3 linked regions of the Struthio camelus genome follow. The protein of the gene in region 3 interacts with the protein of the main gene of each other region in a pairwise test. Links are inferred from orthologs where the notes say so. Each region holds a gene or a part of one and is shown on either strand. Other genes may lie near its edges. The genes, in order: TXLNB, ESRRG and DEUP1.

Region 1 (7,630 bases), on a different chromosome or scaffold from region 3:
CAGCCTGCTTAGCTAATATTAGAGCATTGCACAAGAGAGTGTGAAGTTTATGGAAGTCTATAAAACGTCTTATCCGCTGCTATTCAAACAGAGGTAATACAGAGAACTTCAGATTTCTCTGTTTGTCCGGATGAGTGTTTAAGGGCTTGTTGCTCAAAATCGTCTCTATTTTTTTTTCCAGCTACATTAGCTGGTCTAATAACTGATGCTATCTCTGTCTACAAAGCTTGTACAGTTATATGTCCTCCATCAACTTTGTACAAAGTTTAAAGTAAACACTTGAAGCCGAGAATGGATTCCTGGAATTTTCCAAAGGTAGAAAATTACACCAAGCCTCTGAACACAGCTGCTATGATACAGAAGTTAAATAGTTGTATTTTGTATTAATTATAGGCAGTATGTTAGGTTGCTGCTTATAGGCAGGCTGCGTTAAGGCTAGCATGTGATCTGATGAGAGGAAGAGCAAGGTATGAACAGAGGTTTGGTGATGGATATGAAGCATTTCTAAGTAGTAGCAGACTTGCAGAAAAAGAAGAACAGTTGTGGTCATCACAGGGAGAGTTTTAGGGGATAGGTGAGAAAAATGGTCAGACCTAACCCACAAAATAAAAACAAATGGCCTCTTGTGGAGTGATGAGGACTACTTTTTGATTTTGCTTTTAATTTCTGAATGGGCATAACACTGTAGGCCAGAGAAATGCAGAATTCAAGAAAACATGACATGTTAACCTTCTTCACAGACCGTTATTTACAACACAGCGCTGAATTTGCTCTGGCTGAAGTCAGTGGCAAAACTGCCATTGGAGGGAGCTGATTAAGCCTGCAATCAGGTGTCCCATCTGCTCTGCTCTGGAGGATCTACGTCCTTGCTCCTGCAAACTTACTAGGGAGTGTTCCCGTTCTCAGTCAGTCACCCTGCTAAAAGCTGGTTTGGCCAAAACATGGACTTGAAGCCTTTACTCAATCCTCCTTGTAAAAAACACCTTTTCTCTTTTTAAATCCGCTTTATCCCACTGTTCCTGTCTCATCTGGCAAGATTATTTTTCAGTGGCCAAGAAGCCTCGCAGGCCTCATATTTTCTCTTGTCCTCCCTTCAGTTTAATCAGGATGAAAATAAGGTGTTTCAAGCGTTTTAAGACGGTAGTGTGTTTGCCTTTGGGCTGTGTGGTCAGTCTGAGCACTGGGTGATTGCGGACTTGTCCTCGCATTGTAGGGGAGAGCAACAGCTGATCTATCACAAGTCGCCTTTGCCCTATAAGGACAAGAGCAACCTCTGATGGGCATCTCTCCCCGTCCCCTCGTCCGCAGATACAGACCTGCTACAGAAGAGCCTGGTGCGCTGTGCTGCAAGCCAGCAAACCACACCACATGCTTTCTTTCTCTTTTTCTCACGCTTTCGCCTTCTGAGAAGAGATTCTCTGTCCGGACCTTTTAATCAAACACTTTACATTGAAGACAGCAGTGCACAGATAGTCATGCCGATTTTTTTAAGGAGCTCTTTAAATTGTGAAACTTGCTTGAAGGTGTTAGGATTCAATTCACAGTTTATATATTGAAACAGAGCTGGAGTAATTTAACATGACATAAAAACATGTATACGTATGGCTACAGAAAAGCTGCAGTACTTCGAGTTTGTCCACTAGGTGTAGCTGAAACTCTGCATTTCTTACTGGTTTGAGAAAAATATTTAGAAGAGCAGCCTTTTAATTTGGTTCATAATATATATTTTAACCAAATGAAAGGTAGTCAGAATGAATAGTGACAGATGCTTACGGACTGGAGCCTTTTCATGATTCTTTATATTTCAAGAATTCTACAATACCATCACAAAAATTAGATTAATATGCACAGAAGGACTCTTTACACGGTTTCCCAACCTCTAGCCCAGGATTCTTCTTGACATGGTTCATTTTACCTGTAAATATCACAAGCAATGAAGTCCTCTGAGTAGAAAGCCATTATAAGATTTGGGGGGTTAGTTTTTGATTTTTTTGTTCTGTTTTGTTTTATTTTGCCTCCCCTTTCTGCCCAGCAGAGTTGCCAGGAGCTCTGGCAAAAGAGGAGATTGGCTCTGCAGAAACCGGTCGAGTGAAGCATTTCTGAATTCCAAAGCTGAATTTTCCATTCTTAATCCAGCCTAAGGAAGTAAGGGAGAATGTTTTACCTCCTTGCTTCTCTTTTAAGTCTCTGTAGTTCTTGCTATACATAACAGCTTTGCCCTAAATGTTGTCCTCATCCCTTGCTGACGATAAGGGATGACAAAATGAGAAAAGACTTAGCATAGAAGGAGACCCATTCTAAGATTTTTTGGTTTCTTTTTTAGTTAGCTTTCAAAAGACAGTGATCTTGATTTATGAACTGTGAAGACTAACAAGAATTAAGATTATTTTTTTCCACTGTGATTTGCCTAGATAACGTTCATCACCAAAATCTAGATTGATGATACTCTAGGTGAAGTTCTGACCCAGATAACTGCTTGGCCAGTGGTGTCTAAGCCAGAAAATCAAGGCTTGACTGATGGATTATATAGGAGAGCTGTATACTTGGAGACCCCTTCAAAGTGCAGGCAGTCCTCAATGCTGAAACTGCATTGCATATTCTAGGGCTAACCCAGTTATTCCAGCGTTCCCTTAAGCCACCCTACCAGTGTCAATGGGCAGTGTCAATGCATTACTCATTTTAACGGGACTGTTCATTGCTTGGCTAGGGTACAGAGGTCTTGTAAATCCTTCTTGAAACTCTGGAATGGTATAGCTGGAGTCCCTAACTGAAAAAGTTAAAATGTTGCATGAGCATAGCACAACAGATGGAGATACCAGCCATCCTCTAACTCCCAACACCTCGGATTATGACGATAATTCAAGATGGGTCAGGATTCACAGTCGCTGTGATGACCTGGTGCCAATTCAAAGTCCTTAGTAACTTCACTCACAAGTAATATCATGTATTTGAGTATATTCTCAATGTGATGCTTGGGTCAGGAGTGGATTGCAATACTTTCCCGTCCATATTTTCATTTGGTCAGTGGCTTATGCAAGCCTCTTTCATTGTGAGGAAATTGCATGTTACTTTTTAAGGAAACTTAAATATATGCAGGCTCAGTTTTCTACATTCGTGCATGTTACATCGCAGGGGTATGGATGTTTTCCTGTTTGTGTTTATTCTGCTTAAATTGTGAAGAAATAAAAGTATATAATATTTCATCTTCAAACCAATTCAGGCTGCCAGTAAAGCATCCACTGTTAGCAAGGGGGGTTTCATACTTTCCTTTAGAAACGCAAGTTGCCAGCTTATACAAAGGCCGTTTGGATTCGTGATTCCTCAGCATTTGTTACCTGAAGTGGATGATCATGCTAAAATGCTGCATTTCTCTCTTCTTCCACTTTTTGATCAAGGTTACCTGGAAGATCTGTGACCTGTGGGTCTCCTCAACACCTGACGTCCTAGGAAGGAACAGAATGGCAGAATAGGACTTTGACATTGATAAAGCATTAAAAGGACCCAGCTAGTCAAACATTAGCTGGTAGCATAAAAGGAAAGAGAACACAGGCCAGATGAAAAGGAGTTCTGTGTTCTCTTTGTTTGCTGTTGGTTGACACACAGAAAGTTTCTGGGGGACTTGTTGCTCCAAAGGCCCTCCAATGACTTTTTCCTTTTTACACTTAGTTTGTTTGGCAAATAAGTGAGGAAGAAGGATAGGACTAAGGACAGGTCTTTTTCCATGCTCTGGTTGGTGAAACAGTCCACAGCCTTACAAATAGTGACTATCCTGCCTACTCTACTAGCTGATCTCCCAGTGACAAAGGCTCACAACAAGCACTTTTCCCTCCTCTCTATACAGCCTGTGTAGGCAGAGAGAGAACTTTCAAGTTCCACGTGAGTTCCCTCATACAAGGAAAATTCTTCACATAGTACTGCTGATCAGTGGCAGGTGGTTTCATACTGCTTATATTGCATAAAAGTTGTCCTAAGGTTGGTGTGAAGCTCACCAGGGTAGAAGGACACTTTCTAGAGGTCTCTTTCCAACAGAAAAACTGAGTAAATATATTTCCTACCCTAAGGATATTCTCAAATGTAGTGCTTAGGGTGCCTGGCAGGTTGGTAGGAAAGCTGCTGAGATTCGCTCTCTCACCCACTGCAGCCACTGTTGTCTTTCTCAGTGCTCCGAAGAGACTGAGACATGTTAAAGGGAATAAAGCTCGTAGAAGAGATGCTGATAGAATGAGCATAAATCTAAATGTATTTATTAGCCCAGTTCCACCCCGACCTTTTTTCAAAATTTACATAGCTTTATGGTTTAAGAATTTTAAGGGGCTCTCTTAATTGAAAAATAGAGGCTAATACTAAAGAGGGTGAGTGGTTTGTTATTTTGTGTTGCTGTGACACACGGTGGTCCAACCAGAGAGCAGGAACGTCCAGTACAAGCATGCAACAGAAAGGTAGCCCTGGCCCCGGACAACTTACACATATAAGATAGGGAAGGGGGGTAGGATGCCAAATGGTAAGAAAAAAGAAAAGAAAACATACTGAGAAAAGGTAACATTTATTAATTATTAAAATGACAATATCACAGTCCCAGCTTCTTATTTACATGGTCCTGTGTGAGCCATCATAGTCACAATCTCGTAATTGTCTCAGAGGTCCCACAGACATCACATACATTTCCAAGTTTGATTTTCTGTTGTCATGTTCTGAGGACTGTTCTTTTGAACAGGGAAGAGTGCTTTATACTAGCTAACACTTATGCCCTCTGGTCCTATCATTTGCCTAACTTAGACCTCCTACTTTATGCAAAACTACACAATTTTTAGAACATCTTCATTCAAGTTGACTAGCTGAATCCTCTGAATTTCACATCGGATGTAAATCTCTTTGCAGTAAGGGCTTTACCCAACATTTCTGTGAGGTGGAACTCCCCTTCTCTGCTTCTAATTCCAGTCCCCGTGTATAAAGCAAGTGTGCCACAATTAAAGTAGAAAAGAGTCTGAACACACCTTATTCCCATCTGCATGATATTGGGCAAATCATTATTTATTGTTGATTAACATATAACACTTTATGCCTCAGTTTACCCTTTCAAGTAATGAATACAGTATGCTTTTTTAGCTCATTGCTGCCTAATGTTGAACTTACTTAATAGATAATATTAGATCCTTGCATGCAAGTTACTACACAACTGGAAATCACTGTTACAGAAGCTTGTTGCTACATCTTTAATTCTAAAAGTTTGAATAAATATTTTAACCACAGAAAACCATATTTTGTAGTAAAATACCTTTTCGGTCCACAAAACATAACTAACAACCAAAGAAAAAGTTTAATAAGGAAAATGGTAATTAGTGGTATGTCTTCCAATGTCATAGGAACACAATATTACAAATGGTGCTGATGTTTTCAGAGTATCAGAGTGAAGCAGAATTGTTTTGACCAGTTCCAAGAAGGGTACTAAATAGTTGATTTTTCCCTGCTTCAGCAATTCCCCCTACTCAACGGGTTTGGTCCCCCTACTCAACTCAACTGAGCTGCATGAGCAACTCAATGTTCATTCAGTCCACATAATTACTCTGAGGTTATTGAGCAACACTGCAGTCCAACCCATACTCTCTTTTAGAGCACTGCATTTACAGGGAAAAAACTTGTTAAATTCATAGCAATAGTAGAGTTTCGGAGGTACATCTGAAGATATCCAAGACCACATATTACATATAAATCTGTCTGCATACTCCCGTTGAAGTCCGTGATCTAAATTAGGGACCAGATCTGCTTCTCACAATAAATATGCTTGCATAAGCTTTTTATGTACACAAAATGAATATTTATTATATTCAAAGGAAAGTACTGACATTGGTGCCACGTCTGTCGTATTTATCCTTCAGCTCAATAAAGTATGTAAATTACTCTGATTTTCTTTCCTTTATTCATCCTTTCACCTGTTGGGTTTTATTTTCTTCTGTCTTTACTCATTTGGTCCCCCAAATGTGGCATGTTTAAGAAGGTGATTCTAGCAAGAGAGCTGGAAAACCCTTAGCCACCCATACACTTAAAGCTGTTTCACAATTTTAATCTGTTAATCTGTTAATGCCAATATACTTTTCATCCTTTCACATTCCTCATGTAGTGGTCCTCTTTCCATGCACATCTAAAAAAGGTCATTGGTGTTTACACCATCAGCAAGTTTAGACATATCACAGTGCCTAGTCCTCGATTCACTGTTAGTTCCTCCTGAACTAACAGATCATCAGCCATTCTGTCCTTCAGTCATAATGAATAAGGCTTTCATTATGACTTAGTTCACCATCACTGTGTCTATTTTTCCCTTTCTTTCTACACATCTTTGTCTTTCAGCACAAATGTCCTTATCATTTACAAGCTCTGTGTAAATATTATCTCAATCTATGTCATTCCCATTGTATCAGTCTCTATTCTTCTCTGTTGTAGTCTTAGATAGGTTAGTCATAACCTTCGTGTTGCTCAGCACCCCCTGCCCCCAGCTTACTTATGATTGTCACCAGAATTTGGACCTTGTCCTTTCTAGAGAAGGATGTTTGGTTCCAATTATGAGATGTTTTACAACCCATGTACAGCCCTCACAACTGAGAGCCACAGCTAGCCTTCAATTCCTAATTTGCTTTATTCTCTATTCTGCTCACTAGCAGGTGTTGCTTGTGAGATCAATGGGAGTTCCACATATGGAGCAGCTGCAGGACTGAGCCTGTAATAGGTGTTTTCCATTTCTAATTTTTGCAAGCCAGTTCTAGCAACAATCTAAAAAATGTTGCATATTGATAACGAAGCTAATGCGAGGGAATATTGTTAGCAAATGGAAGGAACTAGAAAAGGATGGGAGAGAGAAAAATAGCTTTACATAAGGCAAGTTAGTTTACATTATCCTATTGGAATAGCTAATATTCTTTTCTACAACTCCCCTTTGACCAATGTACCCTTGACATTTAAGTTACTTCCACATTATGTCTGATATGTAATTTACAACATGATTACATCTGAGTGGGACCCAGAGATTTCCCCTGGCAGGATCACAGAATATCCAGGCTTGACTGGGCCCAACTCTCTTCCCACAGGCTATTGATAGAAGGTCATTTTTGGCTGGAGGGCCATCGTTTTTAAATAAAATTGGACTAAAAGAGACAGGGAAAAATTATCCTAGGATTCAGTAGTTTCTTGAAATTTCGTACTGGATTTTACACTAGCTCATAACCGTGTAAATCAGCAGTACATCACTGCAGCACCAGGTTAACTGAAAACAGATAATACTGCTCTTTTTCTTCCCAATAAATTACCTGTTTATATTGGAGAAGGGTTGTTTCCAGACTGCAGAGATGCATTCAGGTGTGACTGCATGCCTCGCCCAGGGGATTCACACACCTTATGTGTGATTTTTCAAATGAAGCTATTCACCAGTTTGCCAAATTCTTCAAATAGCATATAGCATAACGTATTTATGGAGAGTCTATCTCTTGGGCAAGCTGAAGTGGCGGAAATTGCCTGTAGAAAATTGAAACCCTGGTAATTGATTTTGCTTGCTTTTAAGGTTTCAGAAGGCTTGAGCCTTTCCAAGAATAAATCAAAAACTGTTCGGTAGCAAACCGTGGGGAATTCCTCCAAATTCTTA
Region 2 (7,653 bases), on a different chromosome or scaffold from region 3:
TTAAACAGAGCAACTGAATTCCCTCAGTCATCTTATCCTTGGCTGTCTGAGACAGTAATGCACTTCAGCTCCTCTGAAGAAACTTGCACTAAAAAAAGAGCTTGGGGTGTAACAGTGAGCTATCAGTATTGAAGTACATGCCCGAATTATCTTTAGGGAGTAAGACCTTTTTTTGGAGGGTGACAGGCAGTGTCTGTGCAACTTGCTTTTTTTTTTTTTTTCCTCTCTCTCCCCTTTCTTTGTCCCCCCCCCCCCCTTTTTTTTTCTTCACTTTTTGGGTTTTGTCAAAGGCTTTGGAAAAGACATTTTGTCAAGAGAATAATTTTCATTTACAGCAATGTGAACAGTTTCTGTACTGTACCAGTGAAGGCAATCTTTTAAATATCAATGCCCATGCCCTTGAAAATAAAATGAGCAGAAAATATGGAGTATTTTTTTGAGACTGGATGAACTGAATGTAGCTTGGAAACATGGTAAGGTGATTGAGTTACTTCACGGATGCTTTTTTTTAATATGCTGTAACTGGGTGTAAGAAGCAAAATCTAAAAGCGTTACTTTGTGCATTTGTGAATGCGCTGTGGAAAAGTTCTAAAGAGCGCTCTGAGATGGTGCTGTGTGAGCTTGTTTCCCTAAGATCAGAATAAGGAGTAATTAATGCTAAATACAGATTGAAGTAGCAGATGGTTTTAAAGTAATAACCTGCTATAGTTTGCCCAACTGCGTACAAACAGGTGAGCAGAATTTGGAACTTTTATAGCATTAGGTTTTTTTTTTTAAGGCATTAGCAGTGTATCCAGGGATGCCCCAATTACCTTCGAGTAAGGAGCACAAAAGCCAAGCGCGTCTTAACACAAGCAGACAGTGACAGTGTTGTTCTAACGTTGATGTTACTTGATGTTACTGCAGCACAGCACGTTTGAGTTGTGTTTCTTTACTCAGTGGTTTTGAAAAAAAGAGAAAATCACTTATTTGATGATACTTGGAAATTTCTTTCAAACTGTTAAAATATGATATTCCACAGCTAAATTTTGAAAAAGGTAGCAAGGTATATAGAAAATTTCCATCTAAAGTAACAGTATACTTATTTTCAAATAAATTCTCAGCAGGTAATAGAATTATTTATATTTTTGCGCCTACATAGATGACTTTAGTTTGTTGCTCTTTTTGGTAAATACATGCTTGACACAATATACTGTGCTGCTTCTGCAAAGTGCCACTGAATCTTACTTCTTCAGTTGCCTTGAGGTGGTTGTGTTTTAAGAATCTGGCTGTTTGGATGCCTCAAAATGTCTATAGAATTTAAGTGTGAAGGCGCTTAAAGATGTACTGTTCTGTACACAGGAATAATCATATGCACAGCAAGACATGGAGATATAGATGCTGCTCAGTAATGCCCATTGACTAGTGCAGACACTCATGGCAGTTTTCCCCCTTCCCCTCTCTGATTCCATTACCACTGTTTTGTATAGACTCCTTGTGGTAAGATTTTGCATTGTAGATTTTGATAAGATGTGTGTTTGCATGCGTGTTCTTCTTCTGTAGCTTCCGATAAAATTCAGTAAACTGACGTCTGCTTTTTTTTTTTCCAACTACTGTTTTTATTTCTTTCTAAAGCGGTACAGAGAATCTTGAGACAATGAAGTTACGCGTAGCCCCAGTTTATTTGCTGCAGTATTCTTTTTATCTCCCCCCACCAACTGATTGGTAACTGTGAAACCCAAGTTCAAGAACGTAGTTGGAATTGCAGGCCCCAGTCTGGTGGAGGTGACACTTTCAGTCCTAGGGGAAGAAGCCAACTGCTTTGTTTATCAACATGTAAAGTATAGCACTGTATTTCTGGTTGTCCAAGGAGCAGCACTGGCAGAGAAGCCAGCTGCCTGCTTGGATGAAAGATGGTTGATAGAAAGGTAGTGATGGTTAATAGGGTGAGAGGAAAAATGGATTTGGAGGTGTAGAGGGAGAGTGGGGGGAGAAGCCAACGAGGTAGTGGAAAGTGTGTGAACGTGAAAAGGAGAGCATACTGGAAGACATACCGTGACAGAAGGAAAGAGGTTATCATGTTTCAGCACCTAATATAAATACACAATCTTGGAAGATAATGAACAAAAGTAAAAATAAGCTAACCCATGCTTTGTGTTTTTTAAAATGGATTAATAAGTCATATTTTAATGAGGGTGTATTCCAGTGAACTTAATACTTTAAAGTGACTTTTATCAAATTACTTGTGTATAGGGATTGATGGCAGGTGATTTTAAATAAGAAAGTACATACACATGAAAAGATTTGAAGAAATTTTAGCATACAAATACTGAAAAATAGCAACTTTGAATATAAATCTATAAATGGACACACACACAGACACTCAGTACAAACAATATATTTGTATTTTGCATGGTTTGCTAATGTGCACATGTAAACCGATTTGTAGGATCTGTGCTTTGGGTTTATACAATAATAAAGAAATCTATAGATAAAATAAACACATCATATTCAAGTGCTGATTTGGTTCCAAAATCTGCATTTATCAAACTGCTTCTTAAAGAGGATGTTCTAGTATTGTAACATGATTAAATGCTTCTCATTTTAAAATTTGATTAAAAAAAAACCCACCCTTTTTTGTCTGTGATGTTTCTTCAGTGCTTGGATTTTACTCTACATTTCAGAGCTCTTTAATTCACTGCTCAAAAGCGAATTTACATCTTAATTACAGAGTTCACATTTAACAATATAGACAGCATAATGCTACTGTAATTAAGCTTTTACTACCTGCTTTTATACAGTAGTCAGAGACGTAGTTTTGCTGTGTGAGTTCTGATCGCTAAAAACTTGCACGTATATTTACTGCATTTGTAAGAAGCAGGCCCAGTCTTTACATCAGGTTAAGTACATAACACTGGAATCTCTCTGCCGTAAACAGATACAAACATGTCCAGTGCACTAACATATTTTGCACTTGGGTTCTGTTGTTTTATTTATTTGGTAAAAAACTGTGAGATGGATTTGGAGAAGGCATTTGTGTTCCCATTTGTGAGTGGTATTAATGCAGTCTGAGGGTGTGCACTGATTTGTTTTGATCTAAAAGATTGCCATTTGCATCATGTAGGGCTCCAGTCACAAAAGATTTTGTGAGCAGTTGAGCTGAATTATGAAAAATCATGGGCTTTCTGCTGTGTTTTTTTTTGTTTTTATTGCCAGAAACAGCCTGTATCTATTTCCTGGGAGAGGCAGGAATAAAAACACTTTGTAACTAGCAAATAGTAGTGTTTTAGTTGTAATATTAAGTAAAAATAGTAGTTTTTGAGAGAAAAATATTGTGCTCTCAATTAAATACTGATCCTTTTAAAATGTGTGTGGGGGCAGAGTTCAGTGAGAACAGCGTCTCTGATTTTGTTGTATGATCGTTTTCTCAAAACAAGTCTAATCAGAGACCTTTCATTATGACAGGGCCAAGCAACTGTGAGTTACAAAAGCTAGTGGTTTGCTGGAATCGTGGCTGGTGATGTGTTTGCAGGCATGTGTTTACTTCCCTTTCAGTTTGGTGAAATTTACTTTACAGAAAACAACCCCCCCGCCCCCCAAAACATAGTAGAGGTCTGTGTGCATTCTGAGGTTTAACAATGCAGACCCTCTACAATGCGGTCCTTATCTTGTTAAAATGAAACAGACTGAGTTAGTCCACTATAATCCCTCCACACTTGCAGAAGAAATTGATCAGTTCTGGAGCTTTTCCTGCTGTCTACTAGATCTAAATATTTACATCCAAACACCTAAATATTTGTATATGGGGATACATGTTAAATACGGCCATGTTAACACGTATCTAACCTGGATAGGAAGGCACATTCCTGCATACACTCCCAGTCGCACCCATGCTGTTAGGAAACGCGGCTGAGTGCCAGTTTTGTTTTGTATGTACATTTTTCTTGTAGGTACAAAATCAGATTTTCACTATATGTGTGTGTGTGTGTGTGTGTATGTGTATGTGTGTATATATATATATGTATATAAAAAATATAAAAAATCCCAGCAACACCTCCCTCTCCCCCCCTTCCTTCCCCCCACAAGCCGTAACTCGGGTGGCAATGAGAAGTTGAGTTAGCAGGCGCTTCGGCACACTACGTTTGATGGCAGGTGCCGAGCGACTCCGGAGGTTAGGAGAAGCGGGGTGAGGAGCGCCTGTCCAAAGCAAAGCCCTGCCGCACCGAGAGCCCGAGCCCCCAACCGCCACAGCGCGACGCACCAACAGATAACGGCAGCACAAACTTCGTTCTCTACCTTAGGCGGATTTCTTCCCCGCATTAAGTGAGAGGCTGCGTGTTATTTCTTCCTGGCAAGGTACCTGGCCAAGTGTGCTTTAAGTTCGAGCCGGCCTCCCGCGCCGCGGCAGGGGAGGCCGGCGCCGCCGTGGCCCCTCGCGGGCCGGCCGCGCGCTGACACGTCTGCGGGCTCGGCCCCAACGGCCGCCGCCGCCTCAGGCCGCTCCCCTGTCCCCACCCTCTACCTGCCGCGCGGGCCGCGCGCCGTGCCGCCCCGGCGCCCCTGGCGCCTGATTGGCCGCCGCCCCACCAATCGGCCGCCCCGCCGGGCCGGGGGGACTGCATATGTAAAGCCCTGCTTCATATTCATGAGCGCCGAGCGGGGCTTTAAGTCCTTGATTAGGCGCGCGGGCGAGCTTTTGGTCCCCACTGGCCGTGCCCGCCGGCTTGTCACCCGGAGCGCACCTGCGTGGCGCGGCGCGGCGCTCGGCCACGGAAACTTTGGCTTGCGGCGGGGGCGCGCGAAGAATGGTCGCCGGGCGCACATGGATTCGGTAGAACTTTGCCTGCCGGAGCCGCTCTCCCTGCACTACGAGGAAGAGTAGGTACCGCTCCCCGCCCCCCACCCCGCCGGCCGCCGCCTGCCCCCCCCCCGCCCCCCTCCCCCGCACACGGCAAACGCGTAAAACGCCGCTGCAGGTAACGCCGGGCCGTCTCGGTGCGCGCGAGCCGTCGCCTGCGCCGGCCCGGGGCAGCTGCGCGGCGGCTCCGCGCCGGGCGGGCGGGCGGGCAGGCAGGCAGGCAGGAGGCGCCCGCCTGCCCGCCCGCCCGCCCGCCCGCGGGGTGCTCCCTCCGGGCGGGGAGGAGCGGTGCTGCCCGCCTGCCCCGCGCCCGGACAGGTGTGCGGGCTCCCCGGCTGCCTGGCGGCGGCGAGGGGAGGGACCCCGCGCGCGCCCCCGGCGCCTCCCCCCCCCCCCAACGGCGGCGGGGTGACGGTTGGTGGGGAGCGGCCCGCCGCCGCGCGGCCCTGAGGTACCGGCCGCTCCGCCGGGGCAGCAGCCCCGCAGGAAAATCGGAGAAGGGTGCGGGGTGTTTTGGTACTTCTGTAGGGGACTGGTGGCGTGCGGCCGCTCCGTGCCCTTCGGCGGCGGCCTCTGCCCTGCCGACGACGGCGAAATACTTTTTGAACGAGCCGCAGTTGCTCGCCGGCACTTGCTAGCCGCCCCGTGGTGCGTGCGGATGGATGCGCCTACGTGGGGTGTCTCGGATGGGAATCGCGGAGCCCAAACAAAATCAGGCGGTCTGGGGCTGGTGAGTGGCTCGTAAACTTGATTTCAGCCTGCAGCCAGGATTAAATATTAGTATATCATGGGAGCTGTCACCGATTCATTTTTCTTTATGTCGAGCCACTTAGGTAGCTGTGCCTTCGTGTTGCACTAGCAGCGCCGGTGATACCGAAGAAAAAACAAGCTAATAGCAAGCATCGCCCGAGACGCAGTGTGTGGAAAGGCTGTGTTGAGAGGTGACACTGTATTATAGGTAGATGCCCACTAGCTGTCCTTAGCGTCTGTGTATTGCATTGCTATTTGTAATTAAGACAGAGATGAAAAGTGAATTGCAGTGATTATGTACTGGTGAAATAATACAGGAAGTAAGACAAACAGTAACAAATAGACTTGCTCATAGGAGCAAGCAGTCTGGGAACAGGAGGCAGCAAAATCCACTGTAATGTTCTGGGATAAATAAAATAAACAAAAGGTAAGATGCCCACTCTGGTGTGGTTTATAGGTCAGTGCACTGTGCGCTGCCTTATGGCGTAAGATAGCTTCATAAATTTAAGAACGCAGTTTCCACAGCTTTTACTGGTATCAGAAGTTTTCTTTATAAAATACACAAAGAGTAAGTTTTATTTTCTGGTTGTTCTCCCCCCACCCCCAAGCTTTCTTGAATTTACCTTCTTACAGCTAATTTGAATGATTAGTTTAGATAAGCCTCTTAGAGTAGATGCATTTCAATGAAATCGGGGCACATGTCTTTTTGGCTCTGGTGCAAGATTCAAACTAGTTTTTTTCCTCTTCTTTGGCTCAATTAAAAGTCATCTTAAAACAATCCCGGTATATTGCCCCAACTCAGGGTTTCAGGAATACGTGGTTGCATGGACACACATACACAAAAAACTAATGCTCAGAAACGTCTGCTTCTCTGTTTCTGTTTCAATTAGTAAGCCTCAGAGTTTTTACATGTTATTAATATTCATAGTAATTCTCTCTTGACTATATGTTGTTGCTTGTGTGTCCACATACAAGTGTAAGGGCACACAAAATAAATAGTAGACGCTTTCTGCAGTTCTCACGTTGTAGATGAAGGCAGAGAGGATCTAAGCTAAAAATTGTCGGAACATTTTGGGAGTGCACAGACATCTGTCTGACCATCACTAGGTATGCTTTGATTTTAAGGCAGAGCATGTTAAAGAATGCAATAACTTAAAGCCAGCTGCAGCATTGACTTTTTGCTTTTTCAGTAATAACACTGATAATTACTAATAGTTAATAAACTAACACCAACAGATGCAATAAATATGTCTGCTCAATTTGACATATGTGTCAATTTAATCATTCTAAATGAATCAGTGTGCTCATAACATGAAATCTCCTTCAACCTCTGATTAAAATGTAACGTTGACTAAAGGATTATAGAGCGGACTTAATTTTACTGACTGTTTTAACAGTTGTCACAGCTGTTGGAAGAAGGAAAGGCAATTGAAACACTCCAAAAAGGGGGGGGGAAGGGGAGGACTAGTTTAGTAAATTTAAATATGATCTCTGAATGCCAAACATAGAAAACTGGGTAGATTTGTAACTCCAGATCGCTTCGGTGCACTGTGTACATTTGCCCTTTGTAGCTCCCTGTGTTTCATTAATTTGAACCCTCAGCAGTTTCTCTACTTTATCCATTCAAAAACGTTCAACAGAGTTTAAGCATAAAAGAAATTTAGCTGTTATAGCATGCATGGATTTTTATTTTGTAGCGGAAGAGATAAAATACACAAATGACAAAAACTAAAGAGTGTGTAGAACGGATGTAACGTTTTAAAAAGTGGACGTCGTCCAGAGTCACTGTAAATAATCCAGTGCGATGATGGTCAGTGTACGTATCTTGTATTTTTCTAACGCTTCTCATGTTGCAATATGAGAATGGTCTGTGGAGTTATTGTGCGAGTCTGTGTGGGATATGCATGCATGTGGATGAGCATGAGGATCATATGCATACTCACGCATATCAGGACATACACAAATATGTGGGGGGTGAATATATGTTAAATATAAAATATTTTATGTCAGTTCCATTCTTCTATGAAATATTTTGGCATAACTTCTAATTCCCGAAGAATTTATTT
Region 3 (7,159 bases):
CTGTAGTATACCCCCAGCACCGTGTTGCCCCTGTTAGCCTGCCCTTTAATCCTTACCCATAGGCTCTCAACTTGCTCTTCATCCACCCCCAGGCAGAGCTCCACACATTCTAGTTGCTCCCTCACATAAAGAGCAACTCCACCACCTCGCCTGCCCGGCCTGTCTTTCCTAAAGGGCACATAGCCATCCACGACAGCATCCCAGTCATGTGAGCTATCCCACCATGTCTCTGTCACTGCAACGAGATCATGGCCCTGCGACCGCACGCAGATCTCTAACTCTTCCTGCTTATTCCCCATGCTGCGCGCATTGGTGTACAGGCATTTCAGAGAGCCAGTCAAGCATGCAAGCTTCTCAGGAGAGGTGCAAGAGCATCCTCCATAGCCCTGTTCCATGCCGTCTCCCCTGGCGGCATGCACCCACTGGAGGCATCCTGACTTGAGCGGTGTTTTACTGACTACCGTGTCACTATTCCACTCCCCTTCCCCCATCTTGCCTAGTTTAAAGCCCTCCTTACCAGGCTGGCCAACCTGTTGGCAAAGATACGCGTGCCCTGCTTGGTGAGGTGGATCCCATGTCACCCCATCAGCTGTTGATCTTCAAACAGGGTCCCATGGGCATAGAAACTAAAGCCCTGCTGCCAACACCAGCAGCGCAGCCAGTTTTTAACTTGGAAAACTCGTCTACTCCTCCTCCCGTCCTTCCCCCTCACAGGCAGGATTGAGGAGAAAACGACCTGGGCTCCCAGACCCTTAACCACCGTTCCCAGAGCTCTGAAGTCCCGTTCGATGTTATCAAACCTGTGCCACTGAAAACTAAAAGTATAGAGATATCATAATATAATTGGAATTTAAGATGGTTTTTTTTGGTGATCCCTTCAGACAGTATCAATTCAAATGTGTGCTTTAGAGGTGATATTTTTCGAGAACTTTCCGATTTTAACAAGAATAACTTCTAACAAATCCTCACTTCAGTGGATTCAGTTTGGTACAATATAGCAACTGAAGCAACTGTGGCACAATACATAGCAACACATGAAGTAGAACTTATGAAGTTTGGCAGAGTCATATTTCTTTATTTCTTTTTTAATTGCCAGTGATCACTGACAGGAGACTATTTCATTTCATCTTTATAAGTAAAAACAATTTAATTAGGAACTATTACTGTGTATAGAGCATTAGAAACTATCTCCAAGCTGCTAGACCATAGAGTATTATTTTTATGAGGCAGTAGCAACAAAGGGAAGACTACATCACGCTAAAAGATGTTACAGGAGTGCTAAGCATTATCGTGAGTTTCTAGAAAAACACATAAGCAGGAAGCTTTAGAAAAGGGATTATTTCTTTTACACATGCATTATCTAGCATTACGCTTTGTGTTCATTAAAGTATGACACACAAAATGATTAAATACCTGTTGTCACAGTAACAGGGCTAATAGCACCTTTGTCCCCTTTCCGCGTTTTCTCAGAGCACTACCCTTAGTTTTCATATTCCACGCTCCTACCTATTACAGGATGAATTCTTACAATTCTCCGCTTGTAGACCAGGTCCCAGCCGGTGGTATCGCTTATTGATGAGTATACCTGCTAGATGCAACTAAATCCAAGCTCCTTCTGTTCTTTCCTTCAGTGATCTGACAACCTTCTTAAGAATAGAGTAGTTTGCAGTTTAAAGTAGAAAAAAAAATGTTTAAGAACAGCACTCTGGGTCTGCCTGTGTTATGTCAGGATTTGTCATCTCCTGCCAGTAAATTAGGTAAACACCTTCAAAATCCTCAGGCAGATCTTTATGCCTCAGTCCAATTTTCACAAACAAAAATCCCTCTTAAAAGGTTCTTTTTTAAAACGGCATTTTTCTCTTTTTGATCAGATTTTAGGGATTTTCATAGGCTATATTGTCTCTCAGTGATTTCTGTGTATTTGCTGAAGGATGGCTTACAATGACCTTTTTTTTTTCCTTTCCATTTGTCCCTTCTAATAGAGCACCTGTAAATTAAGTTGATATATTCATACTATAAACATCCAAACTGCTTAACATATAAAATGTAATTACTACACTATTTTAGAGCTGCTATGAATCTGTCACATAAATATCACTAAAACCAGCTGATTTCCATGCTAAAGAAAGAGCATGCATTAGTATGTTTGTTACAAGAGCTATGCTGAGCCTACTGCAAGAAAATGGTCTTTCTGTATCACAATCAAATTTGTCATCTGAGATTGCAAGATAAGGTGTGAATGTACTCTATAAATATAAACTGCTTTTAAAATTAAACACAGAAATGCACTTAGCTCTTACCTGTCATTACATATTCCACTACAAAAAATCACATCTTAAATAATTAAAGTGAGAAATATCTAGGACGATTGCCCAGTAGGCATATAATTATTCATCACTTACATTACATCTCAATTATATTACTTAGCTTAGCATCACCTCTTTTATTCTGCTCTGGAAATATGCTAATTGTAGACCACAGATTTAATTTGTTAGTAGAATTTTACCAAATTCTCAGAATGATTACATGCTAAAAGACTATTGCTTTACTTAGGACTTCTCTGAAACCTGCTATTACAATGTCTTAGTGGAACAGATTAGTTAACAGAATTTAAGTAGCCTCTCCTTCAGCAACGGCTGTCAAAATTGCTTCACAAATCCACGAAGCTAAATGCTTCACAGATGCACAAATCCACAGAGCCTGACAACCTCACGTAAAGCCCACACCAGGGCGAAAAGTCCTGCTGTAGCAGAAGATTCACTTTCCCTAGTTCTCTCCAAAGCAAACATCTGTGGTATATGCTCTCTTGGGTGGACAAGACCTGTCAATACTGTCACATACAAGAGGAGAAGTTGAAAATAAAAAGATCGAGTTGCAGATTTTGGAGGACCAGCATTTCTCTTTATACTGTTTTTTCCACTGTCTTTGCTACAGCTATTGACCTCAGCTCGGTGCATGAATGCCCAAACGAGGCTGAGCAAGGGGTTTGCTACTAAAGGTGCAGCACATTGTATGACCGGGATCACTACTTATCCCAAAACGTGGCTCTCCCTACACGCTCTTGCTACTGGCTAGTCGTGCTGCTGGGCACCTTCCTAGTCAATTCCCGTTGTTTTTATAAAAATATCGATGTTGTTTCTTGTCTTGATTGACATTCAGTCAAGTCCTGTTTTGTCCCTGCCCTATCTACTTCCTTCTTTCCTGCAGAAACGTGATTATATAGCTTTCCACTTATTTAAGCATATAAGCTGGTTTGAAAGTAGTTTCCTCTTTTGCTGGCTATCATAATTCAAAGTATGTGTAAATATCATTCATAAAACTTTTAATGATTCTGTATTTCTTCCCCTTACTCTTCAACTGCTTCAAATATTACTAATTACCTCTCATTTAAAGTCAACAGATAAAAGTTTGGGGCCTTGTAAGCCAAGTTCCAGTGAAGAGATGACGTGGATCAGCAAAAGCAACCAGAAAATGTACAAGAACTGATATGGGATTTTTTTAATATAGTGAATGAGATACTTAAAGGCACCTCAGGGGGCTAGAAACACAGCTCTGGCTAATTGCAATGGGAATTGTCCTCCTAAAACCCTTTGAAAATATCGATATGCAATTTCCAAACTGTATCTCTGCATTTTTTTTTAAGTTGCTGCCCACAAGGGACGGAAGTTACATTTGGGGATAGCTGGTTTCCACCGAGAGCGGGTGACACCGGGAGGAGGTTCAGAGAGATGCCCCGCGACTACGGCGGCAAAGCTCGCTGCAGCTGTTCCAGATAAACCAACGGAAGTTTGCTGGCACCTACATTAAAAATTATGTCGACGGCGAGTAGCCCCGTCCTCGCCCCGCCGCCGCCGTCTCCGCCTCGGCCGTCCTCGCTGCCCGCAGCCGCGCCCCTCACACGGCTCCCGGCGGCGCCGCCGCCTTCCCGCCGCCTTCCCGCCTCGCCCCGCGGCCCTCCCCGTTACCGCGGCAACGGCAGAAGCCGCCCGGCGCGGCCCGCAACGGCCGCCGGGCGGGGCGGGCGGCGTCGGCCGCGGGCGGGGCGGGAGCCGGGGCGGCAGGGGGAGCGCGGCGGGCACAGCGCGCTGCCGAGCCCACGCCGGGGCCCGACCGGCAGCCGCTGCGAGGGGCCGAGAGGAGCGCGCAGGTAACGGCTGGGGGGCAGGGGGAGCTGGCCGGCCCGCTGCGGGGCCGCTGGGCGCCGGGGGTGGCACCGGGTCGGGTCCGCCGCGCCGTCCGCTGCCGCCGCCGGGCTCCTCGGGGGCGTCCGTCGAGAGCGGCGCTGCCCGCTGCCGGTGTCCCCTGGGGCGCCCATCCCCACTGCCCTGCACCAGTGTCACCTCAGCTGCCTGTCCCCAGTACCGCCAAGGCTGCCTCTATACCTGTGTCACCTCGGCTGCCTGTCCCCAGTACCGCCAAGGCTGCCTCTGTACCTGTGTCACCTCGGCTGCCTGTCCCCAGTACCGCCAAGGCTGCCTCTATACCTGTGTCACCTCGGCTGCCTGTCCCCAGTACCGCCAAGGCTGCCTCTATACCTGTGTCACCTCGGCTGCCTGTCCCCAGTACCGCCAAGGCTGCCTCTATACCTGTGTCACCTCGGCTGCCTGTCCCCAGTACCGCCAAGGCTGCCTCTATACCTGTGTCACCTCGGCTGCCTGTCCCCAGTACCGCCAAGGCTGCCTCTATACCTGTGTCACCTCGGCTGCCTGTCCCCAGTACCGCCAAGGCTGCCTCTATACCTGTGTCACCTCGGCTGCCTGTCCCCAGTACCGCCAAGGCTGCCTCTGTACCTGTGTCACCTCGGCTGCCTGTCCCCAGTACCGCCAAGGCTGCCTCTGTACCTGTGTCACCTCGGCTGCCTGTCCCCAGTACCGCCAAGGCTGCCTCTGTACCTGTGTCACCTCGGCTGCCTGTCCCCAGTACCGCCAAGGCTGCCTCTGTACCTGTGTCACCTCGGCTGCCTGTCCCCAGTACCGCCAAGGCTGCCTCTGTACCTGTGTCACCTCGGCTGCCTGTCCCCAGTACCGCCAAGGCTGCCTCTATACCAGTGTCACCTCGGCTGCCTGTCCCCAGTACCGCCAAGGCTGCCTCTGTACCTGTGTCACCTCGGCTGCCTGTCCCCAGTACCGCCAAGGCTGCCTCTGTACCTGTGTCACCTCGGCTGCCTGTCCCCAGTACCGCCAAGGCTGCCTCTATACCTGTGTCACCTCAGCACTGCCTGTCCCCAGTACCGCCAAGGCTGCGTCTATACCTGTGTCACCTCGGCTGCCTGTCCCCAGTACCGCCAAGGCTGCCTCTATACCTGTGTCACCTCGGCTGCCTGTCCCCAGTACCGCCAAGGCTGCCTCTGTACCTGTGTCACCTCGGCTGCCTGTCCCCAGTACCGCCAAGGCTGCCTCTATACCTGTGTCACCTCGGCTGCCTGTCCCCAGTACCGCCAAGGCTGCCTCTATACCTGTGTCACCTCAGCGCTGCCTGTCCCCAGTACCACCAAGGCTGCGTCTATACCTGTGTCACCTCGGCTGCCTGTCCCCAGTACCGCCAAGGCTGCCTCTATACCTGTGTCACCTCGGCTGCCTGTCCCCAGTACCGCCAAGGCTGCCTCTATACCTGTGTCACCTCGGCTGCCTGTCCCCAGTACCGCCAAGGCTGCGTCTATACCTGTGTCACCTCGGCTGCCTGTCCCCAGTACCGCCAAGGCTGCCTCTGTACCTGTGTCACCTCGGCTGCCTGTCCCCAGTACCGCCAAGGCTGCCTCTGTACCTGTGTCACCTCGGCTGCCTGTCCCCAGTACCGCCAAGGCTGCCTCTGTACCTGTGTCACCTCGGCTGCCTGTCCCCAGTACCGCCAAGGCTGCCTCTATACCAGTGTCACCTCGGCTGCCTGTCCCCAGTACCGCCAAGGCTGCCTCTGTACCTGTGTCACCTCGGCTGCCTGTCCCCAGTACCGCCAAGGCTGCCTCTGTACCTGTGTCACCTCGGCTGCCTGTCCCCAGTACCGCCAAGGCTGCCTCTATACCTGTGTCACCTCAGCACTGCCTGTCCCCAGTACCGCCAAGGCTGCGTCTATACCTGTGTCACCTCGGCTGCCTGTCCCCAGTACCGCCAAGGCTGCCTCTATACCTGTGTCACCTCGGCTGCCTGTCCCCAGTACCGCCAAGGCTGCCTCTGTACCTGTGTCACCTCGGCTGCCTGTCCCCAGTACCGCCAAGGCTGCCTCTATACCTGTGTCACCTCGGCTGCCTGTCCCCAGTACCGCCAAGGCTGCCTCTATACCTGTGTCACCTCAGCGCTGCCTGTCCCCAGTACCACCAAGGCTGCGTCTATACCTGTGTCACCTCGGCTGCCTGTCCCCAGTACCGCCAAGGCTGCCTCTATACCTGTGTCACCTCGGCTGCCTGTCCCCAGTACCGCCAAGGCTGCCTCTATACCTGTGTCACCTCGGCTGCCTGTCCCCAGTACCGCCAAGGCTGCGTCTATACCTGTGTCACCTCGGCTGCCTGTCCCCAGTACCGCCAAGGCTGCCTCTATACCTGTGTCACCTCAGCTGCCTGTCCCCAGTACCGCCAAGGCTGCCTCTATACCTGTGTCACCTCAGCGCTGCCTGTCCTAGGTATAGCCAAGGCTGCTGGATGCCACTGCCACCTCAAGTGCCTGTCCCCTGTCCTGTCAGCACTGCTCCTGCGCCCGCGTCAGTTGCCGTCTGTCCCGGCGGAGCCGAGCCTGTCCGGTACGTCTTTGCCATGCACTGACAGAGCCAGGGCGCTCACGCGTGCTGTCGTGCCCTGCTGCGTGCCCCCTGTAAAGCTAGGGCTGCCGGGTGCCAGCGCCGTGCGCTGTGTCTGCCGGCCTGTTTGGGCTGCTGTCCCTCCCCGGGAGAGCCCCGCTGCTCGCACTGGTTGCAGCTTGCCCTGCCAAGGAATGAGGACTGTTTCATGCCACCCTGCTATTGGCAATTTGGCTGGTTCCTGTCCTTGCGCGCAGCCAGCTTTTCCGCACATCCTTTGTCCCACCAGGCCCACAGAACCGGATTGCGCTTGATGGCTGTGTATCTCAGTGCCGCGTGTGCTAAGCAAGGGAGTGGATCGTCAATGTAATTCCAGAATTGGTTTTGAGAGCGATTATAGCCTGGGTGGAAGCTAATTACTTGCATGAAAGTA

What was found.
Region 1: the proteins of DEUP1 (region 3) and TXLNB interact in binary tests that used the Homo sapiens proteins (3 or more experiments, as listed by UniProt). The two-hybrid records come from large-scale screens. The link is inferred for Struthio camelus from reciprocal best matches to the Homo sapiens genes DEUP1 and TXLNB.
Region 2: the proteins of DEUP1 (region 3) and ESRRG interact in binary tests that used the Homo sapiens proteins (3 or more experiments, as listed by UniProt). The two-hybrid records come from large-scale screens. The link is inferred for Struthio camelus from reciprocal best matches to the Homo sapiens genes DEUP1 and ESRRG.

What each region holds. Positions count from the first base shown.
Region 1 is NC_090944.1:75,316,873-75,324,502, reverse strand, and holds the start of TXLNB (beta-taxilin), read left to right. Parts: upstream 1-4,581; 5' UTR 4,582-7,630. UniProt on the Homo sapiens protein: Promotes motor nerve regeneration. May be involved in intracellular vesicle traffic.
Region 2 is NC_090944.1:116,100,279-116,107,931, reverse strand, and holds the start of ESRRG (estrogen-related receptor gamma), read left to right. Parts: upstream 1-4,624; coding exon 4,625-4,857; intron 4,858-5,234; exon of another isoform or gene 5,235-5,499; coding exon of another isoform or gene 5,500-5,567; intron 5,568-7,653. UniProt on the Homo sapiens protein: Orphan receptor that acts as a transcription activator in the absence of bound ligand. Binds specifically to an estrogen response element and activates reporter genes controlled by estrogen response elements.
Region 3 is NC_090942.1:212,794,098-212,801,256, reverse strand, and holds the start of DEUP1 (deuterosome assembly protein 1), read left to right. Parts: upstream 1-4,059; 5' UTR 4,060-4,147; intron 4,148-7,159. UniProt on the Homo sapiens protein: Key structural component of the deuterosome, a structure that promotes de novo centriole amplification in multiciliated cells.